Linked DNA regions of Anolis sagrei. The protein of the gene in region 1 purifies or fractionates together with the protein of each later gene. This does not show direct contact. Links are inferred from orthologs where the notes say so. Each region holds a gene or a part of one and is shown in the gene's direction. Other genes may lie near its edges. The genes, in order: FGF11 and UBE2O.

What was found.
Region 2: the proteins of FGF11 (region 1) and UBE2O purify together in Homo sapiens (affinity purification with mass spectrometry; 3 studies listed by BioGRID and IntAct, with this or other methods). This does not show direct contact. The link is inferred for Anolis sagrei from reciprocal best matches to the Homo sapiens genes FGF11 and UBE2O.

Annotation. Positions count from the first base shown.
Region 1 is NC_090026.1:3,536,982-3,549,283, reverse strand, and holds the start of FGF11 (fibroblast growth factor 11), read left to right. Parts: upstream 1-6,176; 5' UTR 6,177-7,016; coding exon 7,017-7,209; intron 7,210-12,302.
Region 2 is NC_090022.1:119,356,751-119,368,969, reverse strand, and holds the start of UBE2O ((E3-independent) E2 ubiquitin-conjugating enzyme), read left to right. Parts: upstream 1-7,329; 5' UTR 7,330-7,455; coding exon 7,456-7,869; intron 7,870-12,219. UniProt on the Homo sapiens protein: E2/E3 hybrid ubiquitin-protein ligase that displays both E2 and E3 ligase activities and mediates monoubiquitination of target proteins. Negatively regulates TRAF6-mediated NF-kappa-B activation independently of its E2 activity.

The DNA of each region.
Region 1 (12,302 bases):
CTAGCAGTTCGAAAACATGCAAATGTGAGTAGATGAATAGGTACCGCTCTGGTGGGAAGGTAATGGCGCTCCATGCAGTCATGTTGGCCACATGACCTAGGAGGTGTCTATGGACAATGCCGGCTCTTTGGCTTAGCAATAGAAATGAGCACCAACCCCCAGAATTGGATACTTACTGGACTTAATGTTAGGGGAAAACCTTTACCTTTACCTATATGCCATATATTTACTATATTCTATCTGACTACACAGGATTCTCTAGAGGTTTTTAATCAGAGGCTGGGAGGCCGTCTGTTGGGAAGGTTTGGATGGTGTCTTCCTGCCTGGCAGAAGAGGGTTAGACTAGATGGCCTTTGGGGATCCCTTCCAACTTCTAGGATTTGGAGGGTTTTTTTTAAGCAGAGGCCTGTCAAGAAGGGATTTGATGGTTGGACTAGATGACCTTTGGGGGTCATCTAGTCCCTTTTATATATGCCATATTCTATCTGACTACACACATACAATATTTACCGAAAGGAAGGTATATGGAGTGTTGTCCCTTCTTTCCCTCCTACACTAGATGCATCTACACTGTAGATTTAATGCAGTTTGATCTCGTTTTCACTGTAGTTTGCACTCTGGCAGAGAAGGCGAAAGGCCTTGCAAAACCACAATGCATTCCGCAACTCCCATGATGCCATAGCATGGTCCCTTTGACGGTTAAAATGAGGCCAAACTGCATTAAATCCAGGGTGTAGACTAGATGCAGACCTCCTGTTGCAGCCGGTGGCATCCCATAATAGATCTGTGGCGCTTTTATCGACCTCTCCAACAACTGTCCTGCTTTCGCATCGATCCGCAGGCCAGCCTTGCAAAGAGAGGCGGGAGGAGGCGACTTCAGGGGGAGAGTGGCTGGGTTTGTGTGTAGTGTCAACACTTAATTGGGACACAACTCTCCTGGAAGACGCCTCCGTCGGTCGAGGAATTGCTCTTTCGCCTGATCCAGGAGTTTAATGGGGAAGGAAGGGCGCTCTGTACATGCTCAGGGACTTCTTTCTCTTTCTCCATCCTAGGAGTTTGGAAGGGATCCCCAAAGGTCATCTAGTCCAACCAGCAAATCCCTTCTTGACAGGCCTCTGCTTTAAAAAAAAACCCTCCAAATCCTAGAAGTTGGAAGGGATCCCCAAAGGCCATCTAGTCCAACCCTCTCCTGCCAGGCAGGAGGACACCATCCAAACCTTCCCAACAGACGGCCTCCCAGCCTCTGATTAAAAACCTCTAGAGAATCCAAATCTTAGAGTTGGAAGGAAGAACCAAAGGCTTGAATTGCAAGGAGAGATAGGTAATCAAAAAAATTATCATCATCATCTAGTTCAGTGGTTCTCAACCTTGCTAATGCCGTGACCCCTTAATGCCGTTCCATATGTTGTGGTGACCCCCAACCATAATATTGTTTTCGTTGCAACTTGATACCTGTCATTTTAGTACGGTTATAAATCGTAATGTAAATATCCGATATGCAGGATATATTTTCATTCACTGGACTAAATTGAGCACAAATACTCAATATGCCCAAATGTGAATGCTAATGGGGTTGGGGGGGGGGGGGGGAGGATTGATTTTGTAATTTGGGAGTTGTAGTTGCTGGGATTTGTAGTTCACCTATAATCAAAAAACATTCTGAACTCCACCAGCGATGGATTTAAACCGAACTTGGCACAAAGAGCTCCCATGACCAACAGAAGACACTGGAAGGGTTTGGTGGGCATTGACCTTGAGATTGGGAGTTGTAGTATATCCAGAGGGGCGCTGTGGATTCATGCAGTGATGGATCTGGACCAAACTAGGCACGAATACTCAGTATGACCAAATGTGAACACTGGTAGATTCTGGGGAAAATAGACCTTTACATTTGGGAGTTGTAGTTGCTGGGATTTATAGTTCACCTACAATCAAAGAGCATTCTGAACTCGATCAACAATAGAATTGGGTCAAACTTCCCACACAGAATCCACATGACCAACATAAAATACTGTGTTTTCTGATGGTCTTTTGCTACCCCTTTGACACCCCCTCATGACCCCCTCAGGGGTCCCGACCCCCAGGTTGAGAAACACTGCTCTAGAGAATCCAAATCCTAGAGTTGGAAGGAAGAACCAAAGGCTTGAATTGCAAGGAGAGATAGGTAATTAAAAAAATTATCATCATCTAGTTCTGTATTTTTAATGGGTTTAAATATCTGTGGAATGACCAGGGTGGGACAAAGGACTCTTGTCTGCTGGAGCTAGGTGTGAATGTTTCAACTGACCACCTTAATTAGGATTTGATGGCCTGGCAGTGCCTGGGGCAATCTTTTGTTGAGAACTAGAAATTATCATCATCGAGTTCTGTATTTTGGTGGAATCTCTTATTGTTTAAATCCAAGGGTGCATCTACACTGACAAACGAATGCAAGTTCACACCACTTTAACTCTCAAGACTCATGCTATGGGAATTTGGGAGTTGGGTTGTTGTAGTTTTTTCCGGGCTATATGGCCATGTTCTAGAGGCATTTTCTCCTGACGTTTCGCCTGCATCTATGGCAAGCATCCTCAGAGGTGGTGAGGTCTCTTAGAAGTAGGAAAATGGGTTTATATATCTGTGGAATGACCAGGGTGGGGCAAGCCTCCTCAGAGGTAGTATGCTAATCAAGGTGGTCAGTTGAAACATTCACATCTAGCTCCAGCAGACAAGAGTCCTTTGCCCCACCCTGGTCATTCCACAGATATATAAACTCATTTTCCTACTTCCAACAGACCTCACTACCTCTGAGGATGCTTGCCATAGATGCAGGCAAAACATCAGGAGAAAATGCCTCCAGAACATGACCATATAGCCCGGAAAAACCTACAACAACCCAGTGATTCTGGCCATGAAAGCCTTCGACAATACAATTTGGGAGTTTTAGTTTTCCAAGAGTGACCAAGAGTTTTGGTGGGAGGCTCCCAAACTACAACTCCCAATATTCGATAGCATTGAGCCGCAAGAGTTCAAGAAGGATAGAGACCTTGTCAAACTACAGCTCCCGGGATTTGAGAGCATTGGGCTGTGGCAGTGAAAGTAGTGTCAAACTTGAATGCCTATGTGTTGTCGAAGGCTTTCATGGCCGGAATCACTGGGTTGTTGTAGGTTTTTTCGGGCTGTATGGCCATGGTCTAGAAGCATTCTCTCCTGACGTTTCACCTGCACTTTGGCAAGCATCCTCACCTCAGAGGTAGTGAGGTCTGTTGGAAGTAGGAAAATGGGTTTATATATCTGTGGAATGACCCGGGTGGGGCAAAGGACTCTTGTCTGCTGGAGCTAGGTGGGAATGTTTCAACTGACCACTTTAATTAGCATTTGATGTATTGTCGAAGGCTTTCAACAACCCCTTTGCCTAGCTCCAACAGGCCTCACTACCTCTGAGGATGCTTTCCAAAGTGCAGGCGAAACGTCAGGAGAGAATGCCTCTAGACCATGGCCATACAGCCCGAAAAAACCTACAACAACCCACTTGAATGGCTATGGCTCGAAATATGGCATCCCAGGACTTGTAGTTTTGAAGAGGCGCCGGTGTTTTCTGGCAGGGAAGGCGAAAGGCCTTGCAGAACTACAACTCCCAGGATCCCATTGCATTGACGCATGTCAAACGGCATTCATTCTAAAGTAAAGATGCTCCCAAAGTCTCCCTCTAGGGGGCGCCATTCGTATCATGGGGAGAAAGTGCATCCTCTAGGGGGCGCTGTCTGCAAACTCCCAATTCATTGGGGAGGGGGCAATCCAAGGGATACCCCAATAATTGCATGGGGGACTATTAGCAGGGGATCCCTATCATGCTCCTCCCACTCCCATTCCTTCCTCTTAATGTTTACATTTCAATCCATAGACCTTCCTTTCCGGAATCCCCATTGACTTTGGGAAAGCCCCCCCCCCTTTTTATTCCCCACCCCCGCTCCCTTTATCATGACTCATTAGATTTCCAAGGCTCCTTGACAGAAATGCCCTTTTCCTTCTTATCACTTCCCTCCTTCCCTCGTTCCCTTCCCAGTTATTGGGGTCCTATCATCCCCTCCAATTGGGGGAAAAATGTAATTATTTGCAGCTCTATCTCTGGTTGCATCAGGCTGGGACACTTGGAAGGACAGGTTCAGGTATCTGTATCCCTTAATCATTGCAAGATAGATAGATAGATAGATAGATAGATAGATAGATAGATAGATATGGTGTGTGTGTGTGTATGTATATATATATGCTATATATATGCTATATATATGGTGTGTGTGTGTATGTGTATGTGTATGTATATATATATATATATGGTATATATATATGGTGTGTGTATATATATATATATATATATATATATATATTCTTTCTCTCCATGGGGAGGGTCTCCTTCCCATGGGTCTTCATATATATATATATATATATATATATATATATATATATTCTTTCATTCTCTCCATGGGGAGGGTCTCCTTCTAAAGGGGTACCCCACTTTGTAAGCCATCAACTCCCCCCCCCCCCAAAAAGAAACCTATGTGAAGGACTAACTGAGAAGGAAAGAGAAGCGGAATATATATATATATATATATATATATATACACACATACACACACATACATACACACACACATATATATATGACTGCTAGGACAAGATCCCACCTTGCAATGGCAAAAGTCACACAGGACTATATATATAATATATATCAATATATAGCATTGCTAGGACAAGATCCCACCTTGCAATGGCAAAAGTCACACAGGACCATATATATATAATGTATCAATATATAGGATTGCTAGGACAAGATCCCACCTTGCAATGCCCAAAAGTCACACAGGACTATATATATATAATATATCAATATATAGGATTGCTAGGACAAGATCCCACCTTGCAATGCCCAAAAGTCACACAGGACTATATATATATAATATATCAATATATAGGATTGCTAGGACAAGATCCCACCTTGCAATGGCAAAAGTCACACAGGACCATATATATATAATATATCAATATATAGGATTGCTAGGACAAGATCCCACCTTGCAATGCCCAAAAGTCACACAGGACTATATATATATAATATATCAATATATAGGATTGCTAGGACAAGATCCCACCTTGCAATGCCCAAAAGTCACACAGGACTATATATATATAATATATCAATATATAGGATTGCTAGGACAAGATCCCACCTTGCAATGCCAAAAGTCACACAGGACCATATATATATATAATATATCAATATATAGGATTGCTAGGACAAGATCCCACCTTGCAATGGCAAAAGTCACACAGGACTGTATATATATAATATATCAATATATAGGATTGCTAAGACAAGATCCCACCTTGCAATGGCAAAAGTCACACAGGACCATATATATAATATATATCAATATATAGGATTGCTAGGACAAGATCCCACCTTGCAATGGCAAAAGTCACACAGGACCATATATATATAATATATCAATATATAGGATTGCTAGGACAAGATCCCACCTTGCAATGCCAAAAGTCACACAGGACTATATATATAATATATATCAATATATAGGATTGCTAGGACAAGATCCCACCTTGCAATGGCAAAAGTCACACAGGACTATATATATATTATATATCAATATATAGGATTGCTAGGACAAGATCCCACCTTGCAATGGCAAAAGTCACGCAGGACTATATATATAATATATATCAATATATAGGATTGCTAGGACAAGATCCCACCTTGCAATGCCAAAAGTCACACAGGACCATATATATATAATATATCAATATATGGGATTGCTAGGACAAGATCCCACCTTGCAATACCAAAAGTCACACAGGACTATATATATAATATATATCAATATATAGGATTGCTAGGACAAGATCCCACCTTGCAATGCCAAAAGTCACACAGGACCATATATATATATTATATCAATATATAGGATTGCTAGGACAAGATCCCACCTTGCAATGCCCAAAAGTCCTAGGAAAGAAGGGATGGAAAAAAGGGATAAAAGAGGGTGGTTTCTCTTTCCGGGTGCCTTCCTCTTGGTCCCCAAATTGAGACTGATGCCTTCCCCATATTGGCTGGCTTTGTCCTGTGCGAGTGTGACAAAATCCCTCTCTCTCTCTCCATTTCTCCATCCCTTCCCACCCCTCCCTTTTCGTCTGCTCCATTCCCTCGCTCCTCCATCCCCGCCACACACTCACACACCCAAACACACTCTCCCTTGCACAACCGCACACTCTCGCACACACTCCAAACACGCCCTTGCACGCTTGGGTTAGCATCGCTGGCCAGGTCCCTCTCCTAGCCAGCCACCCACCTACCCTTTTCTCTCTCTTCCTTTGGTTCTCTCTCTCCGCTGGCATCCCTTTCCCCATCCTCCCTTCCTAATTAACCTCCCAAGCTCTGAAGGACATTGGGGTCTCCTCCTCTGCGCCTCCCCCACCTTTTCCCAGAGAGGAAGAAAGAAGGGAGGAAAGAAAGAAAGAACACAGAGAGAGAAGAAAGAAAGAACAGAAGCGAGAGAGAGAGGAAAGAAAGAACGAAAGAAGGGGAGATAGAAAAAGAGAAAGAACGAATCAAGGAGCACGAATGGGATCAAGCCGGAGAGAACCCACCCTCTTTTCTCTTTTTTCGCCACCCGGTCTTTCTTAGGACTTTTGCCATCGCCGGATGTGAGAGATGGCATCTCGTCTCTATACGTTGATATTGATGAAGCACTGCTATATATCGATATAGGTTATTCTGTATCAGTATATATATTTTTCTCTCTTTTTTATGTCTCTTCTCTTTCTCGGTCAGACCTTGGGTTTTGTCCTTATCTCCGGAACCGGCAGGAGGAAACCGACTTTTGGAGACAAGTTGACCCTTCATCCAGGAAGGAAGAGAAGCCAAGGAGGAGGAAGAGGAGGAAGAGGAGGAGGAGAAGGGGCCTGGGTTCGGATCCCCCTCGCCCTCCTGGGCCCGCTGCCCTTTGCCCCCGGATGGGGCAGCTATGGCCGCGCTAGCCAGCTCCCTGATCCGGCAGAAGCGGGAGATCCGGGACCCCGTAGCCAGCCGGCCCGTCTCCACCCAAAGGAAGGTCTGCCCGCGGGGCACCAAGTCCCTATGCCAGAAACAGCTGCTCTTCCTCATCTCCAAAGTCAGGCTGTGCGGGGGGCGAAAGGGCCGGCTGGAGAAGACGCCGGGTAAGTCTTCCTCAGTCTTGCACCCCAAAAAAGAGGGGCCCTGACCCCCTCCAAGGCCTCATTGTGGGGGACAGGGGGACTTCCCACCCTCTGCTTTCCTTCAGTGTGGCTTTGCTAACATTATCTGCAATACATTGGGGTCAGCAGCAGGGGGCATCATTCTTGCGGTCGATAGCAAGAATGATGGGGAGTAATGGGATGCTGCATGGATATCTAGATTTTTGTGGGTTATTCCCAAATGTGGCTTTGGTTCGTCCAAGTGTGACATCTCTAACATTATCTGCAATACATTGGGGTCAACAGCAGGGGGCATCATTCTCGAGATCGATAGCAAGAATGAGGGGGGGGTAGTGGGATTCTGCATGGATATCTATATTTTTGTGGGTTATTCCCAAATGTAGCTTTGGTTTGTCCAAGTGTGGCATCTCTAACATTATCTGCAATACATCGGGGTCAACAGCAGGGGGCATCCTTCTTGAGGTGGATAGCAAGAATGATGGGGGGTAATGGGATTCTGCATGGATATCTATATTTTTGTGGGTTGTTCCCAAAGGTGGCTTTGGTTTGTCCAAGTGTGGCATCTCTATTTTGTTGGGTTCTTCCCTAAGTGTAACTTTGGTCTGTCCGAGTGTGGCATCTCTAACAAGCATCTGAAATGCCTTGGGGTCAACAGCAGGGGGCATCATGCCTGACGTCAATAACAATGTTGAACCCTACTTTTGGGGGGAATGGGACACTGCATTGACCCTCTATTTTCCTTGGTTCTTGCCAATTTTGATGTTGGAGTGTGGCATCTCTAACATTATCTGCAATACATCTGGGTCAACAGCAGGGGGCATCATTCTTGAGGTCGATAGCAAGAATGATGGGGGGTAATGGGATTCCGCATGGATATCTATATTTTTGTGGGTTGTTCCCAAATGTGGCTTTGGTTCGTCCAAGTGTGGCATCTCTAACATTATCTGCAATACATTGGGGTCAACAGCAGGGGGCATCGTTCTTGAGGTCGATAGCAAGAATGATGGGGGGTAATGGGATTCTGCATGAATATCTATATTTTTGTGGGTTGTTCCCAAACGTGGCTTTGGTTCGTCCAAGTGTGGCATCTCTAACATTATCAGCAATGCCTTGGGGTCAACAGCAGGGGGCATCCTTCTTGAGGTCAATAGCAAGAATGATGGTGGGTAATGGGATTCTGCATGGATTGTTCCCAAATGTGGCTTTGGTTCGTCCAAGTGTGGTATCTCCAACATTATCAGCAATGCCTTGGGGTCAACAGCAGGGGGCATAGTTCTTGAGGTCGATAGCAAGAATGATGGGGGGTAATGGGATGCTGCATGGATATCTATATTTTTGTGGGTTATTCCCAAATGTGGCTTTGGTTTGTCCAAGTGTGGCATCTCTATTTTGTTGGGTTCTTCCCTAAGTGTAACTTTGGTCTGTCCGAGTGTGGCATCTCTAACAAGCATCTGAAATGCCTTGGGGTCAACAGCAGGGGGCATCATGCCTGACGTCAATAACAATGGTGAACCCTACTTTTGGGGGGAATGGGACACTGCATTGACCCTCTATTTTCCTTGGTTCTTGCCAATTTTGATGTTGGAGTGTGGCATCTCTAACATTATCTGCAATACATCGGGGTCAACAGTAGGTGGCATCGTTCTTGAGCTCGATAGCAAGAATGATGGGGATAATGGGATTCTGCATGGATATCTATATTTTTGTGGGTTGTTCCCAAATATACCTTTGGTTCGTCCAAGTGTGGCATCTCTAACATTATCTGTAATACATTGGGTCAACAGAGGGGGCATCGTTCTTGAGGTCGATAGCAAGAATGATGGGGGGTAATGGGATCCTGCATGGATATCTACATTTTTGTGGGTTGTTCCCAAATATGGCTTTGGTTTGTCCAAGTGTGGCATCTCTAACATTATCTGCAATATATCGGGGTCAACAGCAGGGGGCATTGTTCTTGAGGTCGATAGCAAGAATGATGGGGAGTAATGGGATGCTGCATGGACCTCTATTTTGTTGAGTTCTTCCCTAAGTGTAGCTTTGGTTTGTCCAAGTGTGGCATCTCTAACAAGCATCTGAATTGCCTTGGGGTCAACAGAAGGGGGCATCATGCCTGATGTCAATAACAATGGTGAACCCTACTTTTGGGGGGAATGGGACACTGCATTGACCCTCTATTTTCCTTGGTTCTTGCCAATTTTGATGTTGGAGTGTAGCTTCTCTAACATTATCTGCAATACATTGGGGTCAACAGCAGGGGGCATCCTTCTTGCGGTCGATAGCAAGAATGATGGGGATAATGGGATTCTGCATGGATCTCTATATTTTTGAGGATTGTTCCCAAATGTGGCTTTGGTTCGTCCAAGTGTGGCATCTCTAACATTATCTGCAATACATTGGGGTCAACAGGAGGGGGCATAATTCTTGAGGTCGATAGCAAGAATGATGGGGGGTAATGGGATGCTGCATGGATATCTAGATTTTTGTGGGTTGTTCCCAAACGTGGCTTTGGTTCGTCCAAGTGTGGCATCTCTAACATTATCTGCAATACATTGGGGTCAACAGCAGGGGGCATCGTTCTTGCGGTCAATAGCAAGAATGATGGGGATAATGGGATTCTGCATGGATATCTATATTTTTGTGGGTTGTTCCCAAATGTGGCTTTGGTTCATCCAAGTGTGGCATCTCTAACATTATCAGCAATACATTGGGGTCAACAGCAGGGGGCATCCTTCTTGAGGTGGATAGCAAGAATGATGGGGGGTAATGGGATTCTGCATGGATATCTATATTTTTGTGGGTTGTTCCCAAATGTGGCTTTGGTTCATCCAAGTGTGGCATCTCTAACATTATCAGCAATACATTGGGGTCAACAGCAGGGGGCATCCTTCTTGAGGTGGATAGCAAGAATGATGGGGGGTAATGGGATTCTGCATGGATATCTATATTTTTGTGGGTTGTTCCCAAAGGTGGCTTTGGTTTGTCCAAGTGTGGCATCTCTAACATTATTTGCAATGCCTTGGGGTCAACAGCAGGGGGCATCCTTCTTGCGGTCAATTGCAAGAATGATGGGGGGGGGGAGGGTAACAGGATGCTGCATGGACCTCTATTTTGTTGGGTTCTTCCCTAAGTGTAGCTTTGGTTTGTCCAAGTGTGGCATCTCTAACAAGCATCTGAATTGCCTTGGGGTCAACAGCAGGGGGCATCATGCCTGACGTCGATAACAATGGTGAACCCTACTTTTGGGGGGAATGGGACACTGCATGGACACTCTATTTTCCTTGGTTCTTGCCAATTTTGATGTTGGAGTGTGGCTTCTCTAACATTATCTGCAATACATCGGGGTCAACAGCAGGGGGCATCGTTCTTGAGGTCAATAGCAAGAATGATGGGGGGTAATGGGATTCTGCATGGATATCTATATTTTTGTGAGTTGTTCCCAAATGTGGCTTTGGCTTGTCCAAGTGTGGCATCTCTAACATTATTTGCAATACATTGGGGTCAACAGCAGGGGGCATAATTCTTGAGGTCGATAGCAAGAATGATGGAGGGGTAATGGGATTCTGCATGGATATCTATATTTTTGTGGGTTGTTCCCAAAGGTGGCTTTGGCTTGTCCAAGTGTGGCATCTCTAACATTGTCTGCAATACATTGGGGTCAACAGCAGGGGGCATCCTTCTTGCGGTCGATAGCAAGAATGATGGGGAGTAATGGGATGCTGCATAGATATCTATATTTTTGTGGGTTGTTCCCAAAGGTGGCTTTGGCTTGTCCAAGTGTGGCATCTCTAACATTATCTGCAATACATTGGGGTCAACAGCAGGGGGCATCCTTCTTGAGCTCGATAGCAAGAATGATGGGGGGTAATGGGATGCTGCATGGATATCTATATTTTTGTGGGTTATTCCCAAATGTGGCTTTGGTTTGTCCAAGTGTGGCATCTCTATTTTGTTGGGTTCTTCCCTAAGTGTAACTTTGGTCCGTCCGAGTGTGGCATCTCTAACAGGCATCTGAAATGCCTTGGGGTCAACAGTAGGGGGCATCATGCCTGATGTCAATAACAATGGTGAACCCTACTTTTGGGGGAAATGGGACACTGCATTGACCCTCTATTTTCCTTGGTTCTTGCCAATTTTGATGTTGGAGTGTAGCTTCTCTAACATTATCTGCAATACATCGGGGTCAACAGGAGGTGGCATTGTTCTTGAGCTCGATAGCAAGAATGATGGGGGGTAATGGGATTCTGCATGGATATCTATATTTTTGTGGGTTGTTCCCAAATGTGGCTTTGGTTCATCCAAGTGTGGCATCTCTAACATTATCAGCAATACATTGGGGTCAACAGCAGGGGGCATCCTTCTTGAGGTGGATAGCAAGAATGATGGGGGTAATGGGATTCTGCATGGATATCTATATTTTTGTGGGTTGTTCCCAAAGGTGGCTTTGGTTTGTCCAAGTGTGGCATCTCTAACATTATTTGCAATGCCTTGGGGTCAACAGCAGGGGGCATCCTTCTTGCGGTCAATTGCAAGAATGATGGGGGGGGGAGGGTAACAGGATGCTGCATGGACCTCTATTTTGTTGGGTTCTTCCCTAAGTGTAGCTTTGGTTTGTCCAAGTGTGGCATCTCTAACAAGCATCTGAATTGCCTTGGGGTCAACAGCAGGGGGCATCATGCCTGACGTCGATAACAATGGTGAACCCTACTTTTGGGGGGAATGGGACACTGCATGGACACTCTATTTTCCTTGGTTCTTGCCAATTTTGATGTTGGAGTGTGGCTTCTCTAACATTATCTGCAATACATCGGGGTCAACAGCAGGGGGCATCGTTCTTGAGGTCAATAGCAAGAATGATGGGGGGTAATGGGATTCTGCATGGATATCTATATTTTTGTGAGTTGTTCCCAAATGTGGCTTTGGCTTGTCCAAGTGTGGCATCTCTAACATTGTCTGCAATACATTGGGGTCAACAGCAGGGGGCATCCTTCTTGCGGTCGATAGCAAGAATGATGGGGAGTAATGGGATGCTGCATAGATATCTATATTTTTGTGGGTTGTTCCCAAAGGTGGCTTTG
Region 2 (12,219 bases), on another chromosome or scaffold:
CTATCCCAAAATACTTCCATGTTTCCTTACAGTTCCTTTCAAAATGACAATAAAAGGTGACATGATTGTAGTACAGGGACTGAAAAAGGGTAGACAGAGGTATTTGACCTTTATGTCAGGATACAGTCCACAGGGCACTTGGGTGGGGAAGAAATATTAGCCCCAGGACCCAATGCTAAAATTTCTTGCCTGAAAGTAGGCATCAATATTTTTGCAAAACAATTGCTCCCCTGATTTTGCCCTTGACATGTTGTATTTCATAACTGAATCTTCCATCATTCCCAGATAACCAATTGTTTAGGGAGCCATGTTAGGAAAGAGATAAAGAACATCTGCATTAAATTCTACATCCTAAACTGTGTAAGATTAACTTATAGATTTCATGAAAATTTTAGTTCAAGTCAAGGGAAAGGTGCACAGAAATCTCCAAACTGCAGCTCTGGGAGCAGGACTCTGAAAACAAAAGGCCATCAAAGACTGCTGTGCTGGGTTAATTTTTTGGGATTTTTTAAAAAAGTGTACGAGAATCTTTTTTTACAATGACTGCCATCCTATCAGAATTAGTTTCTCCACTGCAGCACTTTTTAAAAGGCAAATCACACATGGTTGAATGCTGTTTAATTATTCTACAGTTAGCCTTCTAAAATGGTTACAAAAAAGGAGTCTACATGCACATGACAGATAACATCTATCTGCTCCCAGACTAACTTCTAGAGACCTAGAGAAAAAAGATTTTAAAAACTTTATAAATCATATTAGCAACTTTAGAATAATATTTCCTCCAAAGGCATACAACAAGAGAATAGGAACATTTGTTTTTATGCAACTGTGTTGCGTATGCTATAATTTCATGGAACATCTGATCCCACTGAGCTGTGCTCATCCACTGTAATGATAAACCATAGCTTATAATAACAAGAGCAGGCTTCAGAGAGTGCATGTTGTCCTCTCCAGCCCCCGTGGCTCAAATGAATTCAGAAAGTTTTTTGTTTTTTTTCCTGAGGATGATTTGTCTTATTATTTTGAAGGACAAACAGTGGTTATCACTAATTTTGCTTCATTTGAAATAACTTTAAGCCAAGGTTTAAAGAAAAGGGGGCAGCATGCAAGCTCGGTTTGCCTCAAATTGGATTTATCAGACTGAATAATAGTTTGGGGTTCTGCAACACATGATCCTCGCACAGATTTTTTTTTAAAGTGCAATTTCACAGTTCCAACAATGGTTAATTAAAATTGGCAAAGATAACAGTAAAATCTATATCTATATATCTATATCTATCTATATAATAAAAATGAAAATATGTTTGTATGCTTGTGTGTGTGTATATATGTATGCTTGTTTACGGACGATTTCCAAGAAGGCTCCCACTTCCAAAGAGCCCTGTGCCATCCACTAACAATGGATCTGGACCACACTTACACACTTGGAACACCAACACCCCCCCCCCCCCCCGAACAATATAAAATACTGAAGGGATTTGGGGAGGGGTTGACCCGGTATTTTGGGATTTATAGTTCACGCACATCCAGAGAGCATTGTGAGCCAAACCAACGATGGATCTAGACCAACTTTGCACTGATACCCATAATGACCAACTTTGAATACTGGTGGGATTTGGGAGGAGGGGGAATTGATCCAATACCGAGTTATAGTTCATCCACATCCTTATGTGTTTTCTAATCAGAACATTAATTAAAAAACCCCATGAGCAAATAATGACTATTTCTTACAAACAGCATTACAAAAGACCTAACTCAAGCATCGGCAGGTACCTAGGCTAGTATTAAATACAAAAGAGACATCTTGGGAACAGCAAGAAAGAGAGGATAATTCCATCTCCTGATGCCACTTCACTACTTGCAGGCCAGCACAAAAGCAGAAAGAACAATTCACGCAAAGCAAGTGAGGGGAACTTGTGGGGATTGCCAGCTACTTCTCATCAATAAATAGTGGGGGATGGGTTAACCATGGAAAGGAGGCGGACTGGCAGCAGGATGTGCATGGGATCATGCAACAGGGACCAACATCAAGGTGGCAGTCCAGCTTCAATGCCAGATTGCCTGCCTCATTCAATGAAGTCCTCAGTTGCCTTCATACAGTGATACATTCACATGTCACAATTTTAGTGAGACATTACAGAATATATACATACAATAAGGAAACAGATATCACACACAGGACAAAGCATAGTATATACAGGGTGGGACCACGGCTGACCCTGTTTAGCTTTCAAGATCAGACAAAATCTGGTATCTTTGGCCAATATATATCTTACCTAATGTTACGAGATATATGATCGATTTTAAGAAACCACAGTACTCTAAGCTGTATAGATTATGTCTTACTGGATTTATTCTATATGTATTTGGATATTATATCACAGGCATGCAAAAATGGTAACATAGCATATTAACAAATCGAGTGCAGCATTGTTTAGATTCAAAACTACATAGTACTATCAAAGAGCGCCACCTGTTGGGAAAATAAAAGCTGCCAAACTGACACTATAAGAGGCAAAAAATCTGTTCAAAGCAGATGGGGGAAACAGAAGGGTCTCTTTACAAATTTTACATTCACTAAGATGTGGGTGGGTTACAGCTGAGTGCTGCTTTTCTCAGCATTTAAATAATTGATCCAGAGGTGTAAATATCTTTTGCAGATCTAGGAGCATTATCTAAGACAGTGGTGACACGCTTGCCAGGAGCATGCAGCACCCTCTCTGTTGGCATGCTTGCCATCGTCTCCCCCCCGCCCCCAACCCTGCTTGCACATCCTCAACGTAATTTTCTCTATTATTGTCCCTTTGGCAGACAGCCTCAAGGGCTTCTACCTTAAAGGAGGTGTTGAAACTGACTTCAGAAATTATATTTCTCAGAGGAAAGGGTTTCATGACCCCCAGGTTAAGATTTCCTGGTATAATATTACAAGTGGCCACAAAAATAATTCCTGAGAAGGTGGGATCACAATGCAAGTCCTGCTCCAACCTTCTCATTTTTTTCCACCAAAACCTTCTAACTGAGGGACAAGAAAGTCAATGCCCTCCAAAGGTTGTTAAATTCATCAGTTGAGGCAATGTTGAGGATAGATGGGAATGCAGTCCAACATCATCAAAGGGCTCTCCTATTCTGCCACTTGTAATATTATACCATTCTGTCTCTCCAACTTATGTGATTTGGCATGTTCTGTAAAAAGAAGGGGAATACCATGCTGCTTTCCTGCCATCAGCAGGTAGGAATCATTGCCCAGGTATGGTAGAATATCCTCACCACCCCCATGTAGTATTGGTTTAGTCCCTTTAGTGTTTGTTAACATGTATTTTTCATTCAGCTTTAGAAAGTTAACTCCAGGGTCATGGAATTTTGACTCTACAATCTGAATAACACACAGCATTATACAAGACATACCAGACAACTTAACCACCCAGTAATTCTGAGTACATGACAACACTACTCCTTAGAAATTTCTAGTAACATAGGCAACTCAGTATATCACACTTTTACTTCACAGGAACCTATGGGTAAGAGATATCTCTACTTATTACTGTGATTCCAGTTAGAAAACAAAATATCCACAAGATGGAGCCAGAGTTTCCAGAAAGAGAGAGGGAGGGAGGGTGGGACAAGCAGCAATAAAGGATACAGTTGTGCCCAGAAGCTGAATTACACCTCTCCTGGGCCACTGGGGCTTCTTGCTATTTATACGATAGCTGAAATGAAAACCCAGTAATCTGAACCATAATGGCTATTTTTCAAGCAAAAGCAAAATATAAAAAAAACTTAGAATATTTGGAGAAGAAAAGTACACACTAAAGGAGATGGAGAAACAGGAGTTCAAATGTCATGTACACATATACATCACATTGGGGGTAAATTGGGATGGGACACATATGGCCTTCAATTGATGGGCTGCAACTTCTATTATGTTATACTGGTTAGGGCCGATGGGAACTGAAGTTTATCATCTGGTGGACTAAACATTGCTCACTCAGTTTAATGCTTTGCATTACTGTTCTAAAAACAAAACAAAAATCCCATACATAATGGATTAGAAATATAAAGGCAAAATATGATACTGCATAGAGAACTCAAGTAGTTTCATTTTGCCCTGAAGACTTAAGTTTCACATATACACATCAAAACATCATTAAGATGATGGGACATTGTTTCTCTTTTGCTTTGAAGGGCATGGTTCTTAGAGACAAGACTTAAATGTAGCAACTTCTTGAGCTTTGTGCACCTTAGTAATATGAATCTCCACACTTGTTCCTAGGAACAACATAGAGATTTCAATGTAGAGCACGTGGATACCCTTCTATAACTTGGGTATGTGGGTTATCTTTTATAACTGTAAGATTAATCAGATCTTAAGAAATTATTTTTATGTTTCCCTTAGTTGCAGCTATCCATTTATACTATATTCATGTCCATGGAAGGATGCAACAATTGCACTGGGAATAAATCTTAAGAATGGCTGTTAAAGCCTCATATTTAAATTATTCTGTTAAAATACTTGCACAATATATTGTACAAAATTACACTGCCAGCCTTGATTGCTAAACACATTGAAGATAATGAATAAGACCTGGGGCGAGATTTTTTGTACAATTAAGAAATTAATGCTAAACTCTCAATAAAATCACTATACTGCCTCTACATTTATAACATTAATACTATCTCATTTTTTTCTCTATACAGAAACAAAGCTTCACTCCCCACAGCTTCTACTTAATTGGGCTTTTATATCAGGACCTCTTGCACTAGGATGACCATTAGACTCTTGTGAGCATGAGACATTAGCTCCAGAAACTCCCATTGCCTTCCCAGCTTCTGAATTTCCATGTCACAATTAGACTCCCTCAATTTGCTTTACATCTAAGCTAGCAGTGATGGATGTCCAAAGGAGTTAATTGAGAGTAGTGCACTCAAATTATTCCCATACCAGACTTTAAGGGTTTTCAACATCACAATAATAGTACCAAAATTATACCCTGATTATTTTTATTAGGTAAAGAAAACACCTCTCTCCTCCTTACTTTCAAATTTCAAAGCAACCTTTGAAATTGAGTGTATTCGATTTTGCTCTTCAGACAATGTTTCTCTCCCATGCCTTCAATTCCTCATATCCACACTCTTGCAGCCATCAATTTAATCATTGTGTTTATGCTTTGGCTCAAATTTTCTACTCCCCCCACCAAGACTTTCCCTCCTTCTCCTCCTGCATCTTTGCTGTTGTGTGTCTTCAGTCATTTCTGAAGTATACCAACTCTAAAGTGAACCTATCACAAACTTTTGGGGCATGACTTGTTCGGAGGAGGGGGCACCTTTGTCTTCCTCTGAGAGAGTGTGACTTACCCCAGGTCACTCAGTGGGTTTCCACAGCCAAGTGGGTATTTGAACCCTGGTCTCCCGGTCTTCACTCTATGCTCAAATCGCTGCCCCACACTGGCTCTCTTTCCCCATGATTCTTTCTCTGGGCCTAAGCTACAATACAGACCCAGAATGAGACAAAGGGGGCAAATGCACAACAGATGGCTTAATTTGAAATCCTCTTTTTCCCATTTTATCTTTGTTCGTTTGCTTTCCATTTCACTCCTTGTCCGCCTTCCCATTTTGAGAGCCACTCCCTCCATCTTCAGCAAGACACTCATGGACAGCCAACTTCAAATTACTTCCTGCCCCTAACAGGGAACAAAGCCAGGTAGGGGCCTTTGGGGGCAGACACTGGGGAAAGGAGGACAAAAAGGGAAGGAGGTAGAGACCCACCCCCAAAGGTCCCTCTACTACACTGTAGAAGGCCTTTGGCGTTCTCTGCTAAAGAGTGGTGGTGCCTCGGCAAGCTCCAAATCCTGGGATTTCATGGCATTGAGCAGTGATGGTTCCAGTGGTTTGGAACTGCCTTCATCTGTAGCAGGCATGGGCAAACTTTGGCCCTCCAGGTGTTTTGGACCTCAACTCTTACAATTCCTAAGAGCCTCAGGCCTTTTCCTTTTCTCTCTCAGCCGCTTAAGCAGAAAAGCTTAATGCCATCAATTGGGGACCCCTTCCCCCAGCACCAACTGCTGCTCTGGGCCAGAGTAAAGAGAGAGGGGGACAGTTCCATCTTGTCTCCTGCATATGTCATCAGCTGGGGACCCCTCCCCACAGCACCAACTGCCGCTCTGGGCTACAGTGAAGGGGAGGGGGGCAGAACACAGTTCCACCTTTTCTCCTGTGCTATTCTAATCATATAATATAATATATTGTGTATATACATATAATATTTATAATAATGTAATGCAATATAATAATATAATTATATATTTCTATTACATGTAATATTACTAATATTACATGTATAATATAGTAATATTTAATACTGATATTGTACTATGCTAATAATATAATATATTGTATGCATATCTTGTAAGCCGCTCTAAGTCCCCTTCGGGGTGAGGAGGAGACTCAGAGATATTTTATTTATGTCGTAAATAAATAAAATAAAGGGAAAAGGAAGGGGGGCTGAGACTGTTAGGAATTGTGGAAGTTGAAGTCCCAAAACACCTGAGGGGGGGGGGGGGAGGGGGAGTTTGCCCATGCCTGCTGGAGATGAAGGCAGTTCCCCACCATTTGAACCATCACGGCTCAATGCCATGAAATCCTAGAATTTGGAGCTTGCCGAGGCACCACCACTCTTTAGAGCAGTGGTTCTCAACCTGTGGGTCTCCAGATGTTTTGGTCTTCAACCCCCAGAAATCCTATCAGTTGGTAAACTGGCTGGGATTTCTGGGAGTTGTGGAGCAAAACACTTGGGGACCCACAGGTTGGGACCCACTGCTTTAAAAGAACGCCAAAGGCCTTGTAAAACTCCAGCTCCCAGGATCCCAGAGCATTCTGCCATGGCAGTTACAGACAAACTGCATGGATTCTGTCTTGTGGATGCGCCAAGACTAGGGAAGGGGAGCACCTGTCAGCTCCGCCTCTGCTTTGCCTCGTAGGGTGGGAAGGGGCGCCATCTTATGATGCTCTACTTGAGGCATCAAAGGCCTGTGAGCACCTTCTGGAGCCCTCCTCCTCCTCACAGAGACACGCTCGCGATTCTCCCTGTTTTCTGTGCTGTGTGCCACAGCCCTCTTCGGTTGTGAAAGCTGCCTTCCCTCTCTTCTCAGGCGCCGAGGCCTTCCCTCCATCCACCTCCATCCCCTTCAGAGAGGAAGATGTAGGCCCGTCCCTCTCCCCTTCTCCCTCCCTCCCTCCTCAGGCTGCTCTTGGCCCCGCCCCCTCCTCGCTTTGCTATTTGACGCGAGGCGTCGCCATCTTGGAGCCCCGCCCCCTACCGAACGCGGACTGCGCCTGCGCGCGCCGGGAAAGCGAGCAAGCGAGTGAGCGAGAGTGAGCCAGGCGGCCGCCGTCGCTGCTGCTGCTTCTCTCCCTCCCTCCCTCCGCCCGCCTCCTTCCTTCCTTCCTCCCCCCTCAGCCATGGCGGAGCCGCCACCGACCACCGGGACGCCGCCATCTCCAACGCCGCCATCAATAGCAACAGCAGCACCCGGCGGCGGCTCGCAGCGCCTCCTCTTCACCCATGACTTGGTCTCCGGCAAGTACAGGGGCTCGGTGCGCTTCGGCCTGGTCCGCGTCATGCACGGCGAGGACTCCGACTCTGAGGAAGACGACGGCGGGGGAGGAGGAGGAGGAGGGGGCGGAGGGGGAGGAGGACGAGGCCCAGCAACAGCAGGAGGAGGAGGAGGAGGGGGCAGCTCGGCGGGCTCGGAGTCCGGGGGCCCCGGAGGAGGAGGAGGAGGGGAAGAAGGCCGCGGGAGCCCCCTCCGCCGCGGCTACGTGCGCGTCCAGTGGTACCCCGAGGGCATCAAGCAGCACGTCAAGGAGACCAAGGTAGGCCCCTCCCGAGTGGGCAAGGAGCGGGGGAAAGGAGATGCCGAGGCAGGAGCAGCAGCAGCAGCAGGCCCTCTGTGGGCGTGGGCCTGGTGGGGGCTGCGGCAGGGGAGGAGGAAGAGGAAGGGCCGCCCTGAGGAACCTGAGGGAGGGTCGGGGGTCTTAAAGGAAAGTTGGCGAGGAAAGAGGGCGGTGGCAAGGAGGGAGAGCGAGGAGAAAGGACGGGGACATGCTCTCCCTCTGTGTGTGTGTATTCCTCACACATATATACAGATATATATATATATATATATATATATATATATATATACACACACACACACACACACATACAGATATATATATACAGATATATACACACACAGTTACGACTGTGGAATGACCTGCGGAAGAGCTCCAACAGCTAAACAAACTCAACACCCATCCCTTCTGGCAGGCCTACCCAGTCAACTTGCTATCATGTGTTTTGATTTGCACTCTATTGCCACGACTGGCGGAGGTGGGTGAGCGATGGGGTCTCCTCAGTGGTGGCCCCTCGCCTGTGGAACTCTCTACCCAGCATTCGAACAGTAGTAGAGGCAGCAATTGAGAATGAGACACAATTTATGTGAATGACAATGGACTGACCTGGACTACAATTTCAAACCTGTGTGATTTAAACAATGTTTGAGTAATTTTATGTTCTAATTGCTTTTATTGTTTATTACTGTTGTTGGCATTGAATGAATACCTGTTGACAAACTTGAATTGGAAAATGACTCTGGAACGGCCCAAGACGATGGAACTGATAAGGACTTGAATGAGAGGATATAGTTTATAGCTTTTAATATTGTTATTATGCACTGGCTTATGTCTAATTGCACTATAATGGTTCTTTTGTTTATCAATGTATGTATTTTTATGGCATCGAATTGTGCCGATTGTGTACGCCGCTCTGAGTCGCCTCCAGGCTGATATGAGCGGGATAGAAATAATGCAAAAAAAAAAAAGTTGTCAAGCCGCCCTGAGCCTCCCTCCGGGGTGAGAAGGGCAGGATACAAATATGCAAAATAAATATATGTCAATTTTGTAGCAGTGTTTGGTATAAGTTTTCAAATGTCTGTGCTTGGCAATGCAATTTAGTAATTTATTGTATTTTTATTTACTTCACTTGTATTCCGCTTTTCTCACTCGGGGGTGTGTGTGCTCAAAGCTGTTTCCAACATGTGTTGTTGAAAGCTTGCGTGGCCGGAATCACTGGGTTGCTGTGAGTTTTTCGGGCTATATGGCCATGTTCCAGAAACATTCTCTTCTGACATTTCACCCACATCTATGGCACGCATCCTCAGAGGTTGTGACCTCTCAACCTCTGAGGATGCCTGCCATAGATATGGGTGAAATGTCAGGAGAGAATGCTTCTGGAACATGGCCATACAGCCCGGAAAACTTATAGCAACCCGGTTTCCAACATATTTCTGACAAAACATAATGCCTCGCATACATATGAAACCTAACATAAAGCGAGAATAATATAACTATCAATTAGATCATACAAACCTAACAACATTTAAACATTAAAACATAGAATTAAAACATATTAATATAAATGGTAAAATCACATAATCCAGAAATAATGGTCCAAGGCCATGTATTTTTATGTTTGTTTGTTTGTTTTTTAATTAGTTGTACCCCTCCTTGAGCCATCAGGGAAGGCAGATAATGAATAAAATGTATTACTATTATTATGCACACAATCTCACACACATTGATATAGATATACATATACACACATAGGTTCTCTCTCACACACATACACATATATACACAAAAACATATATACATTTGCACATATATAGATACACATCCATCCCCTCATACGTACCCTATACACACACCCACACACATATATATACATACTCTCACACAAATAAATATTGCTAAAGATATATACTTTCTCTCTTACATACAGATATATACACACCCACACATATACTGAGTGTGCCAAAAGTCACAAAGGGGTTTCAATATTTAATAATTCCTTTGTGCTTTGTTTTTAATTTACAATGTTCACAAAAGCATATATAGAATATATAGGAAATGAAATTGAATTACATTATATATAAAATCTTTTCAAACAAAAATTTCAAAGAATTATTGAAACATTAGATGCCTTTGTGAGTTTTGGCCCACTCTTTGTATGCACATTTATATATTTACATACATGCACTCAAACATACGTATGCATACATAGATAAGCACACATGTGTACATATATATACTGTATATACACTCACGTGTATAGCTCACACATGCATATATGCATACATACATTCCTTCAAGAATGCTACTATTGATTGATATTATAAATACTGTATTATCTCAGGCCAGTGTGCTCTGAAAAAGCTGCCTTACATTGTCCACATTGCATTGTACAGGTTGTACAGTTTTCTATTTTGGAAAGAAAATCATATTTTTTTTCTCTCTCTCTCTCTCTCCCTGTCCCCCAAATAGGTTACATTCTGTGCTCCCCCTTCTCCCACCATAATATTCTAGAAGACTTCTTTCACCATTTTAAAAAATATGTTGTTAGGCAACATGCTTCTATTCAGCATCCTGAATGCTCCAGGCCTTCCCTGCAATCTGTGTTTTGCGGGTTGTTCAGGTAGTCAGGAGTTTGGACGTGGTCTCTCAGACTCTTCTGCAGTGACATCTGCTGATTGGTATTGCTGTTCTGCAGAAGTTCATATTTTTTTACTGCATGGTTTCAGATATGGATGGGGATGGAACTTATTTAAGAGGGAAAAAACATCACTGGAGACCATTATTTTTAGCAAATGTTTGGATAACTATAAATACTTGTGATGCCTCAATGTATTAATTGAGAATATTAATATTCTTGGAAGTGAACTATATTATGGCATAGGGGGAGTTTGTTGTTAGTTGCCACTATAGTAGTAAGTGGTTGGTAGTGTAGGAGAAGCAAATGTAGCAAGCCTTCTAAAATGAAGGTATTAATGGTTAAATACTGTTGGTTGGAGCAAAAAAAAAAAAAAGGTTACTGTTTGGGTAGGAGGGAAAACATTGTCTTTGCTCCAGTATGCATAATTGATGTTATATAATTATGCATAATTAAAAACTGAAGGGCGTATTTATATCATGAGACACAAGTTGACATGAATTGCTTAAAAAATAACAGTGTACATGTCAAATAGCTAACTTGCATCTCATTTGAAATATTGAGAGTGATACTAATATTCTGTGAACTCTATGTTAGGTTTTCAAATGTTATGGAGAAGAATGACTTACTCCAAATATGTAGAACAAAAGAGAGTGAGGGGTGGGCCCAGATGTAATATGAGAGGACCGATGCATTGTGTGTATCTTGAGAAGGAGTGGCATGGATATGCTGTGATAAGTGAAAGTATGTACTACTCATATTCTTATTAGCAGTCCTTGGCCTTGAAATCATGTGTATTTCTTTGAGAATAATGCGATGCATTCACTATGACCAGACACTTCTTTTCTGGCTGTGATTAAATCCATTAAGTTCATAGCAAAGAAATCAGCAATGACAATATTAAAAAAAGCCCTGGAACCCCCTAAAAAGATAGATATTCATAATTTTTCACATAGATTCTGAGAATATTTAAAATTTTGGATATAGGCTTTCTGTGACAAAGCTTGGTCTGTATAAATTCTAAATTATTCCCAAGGGTCTTATTTTTACTCAGGCTTTTTGGTTTCATAGTGAGGCTAAAATTGTAAGATGTCACTTGGGGAAAACAGTAAACCTAATTATAGTGTGCTTTCAAGTCTTTTTGGTTGTTGTGTGCCTTCAAACTATTTCCAAGTTTGGCTCACCTTAGGATTTCCATATCATTGCATTTTCTTGTCAAGATTTGTTCACCTGACATTTGTCTTTGTCTTCCTCTGAAGTTGAGAGGGTATGCAAATTTTGTACTCTGTCTGGGCATTGTATCTTTTTACCCTGTTTCCCCTTCCCTTCAGCTCCCTCACCCATATTGTGCTTCAGTAGTTATATTTATATTTTTAATGTACCAAACATACCAAGTTTGTATGAAAATGTGACTATTTCCTGTGCTGGTCAATGACCGAAATAAATGATTTGATTTGATTTGAGAGGCTATGACTTACCCAAGGTCACTCAGTAGATTTCTGTGTCCTAATGGAGATTTTAACCTTGGTCTGCAGAGTCCTAGTTCAACACTCAAATTACTACAGTGTGATAGCTCTTAACTTTCTTTAGACAGGAGTAAATAAAAGTATAAACCATCTATTTCATAGGCATGGATTCAGATCTGTACTCTTTTAAGAATTCAACAAGATGGCCAAATATTAGCTTGAATAACC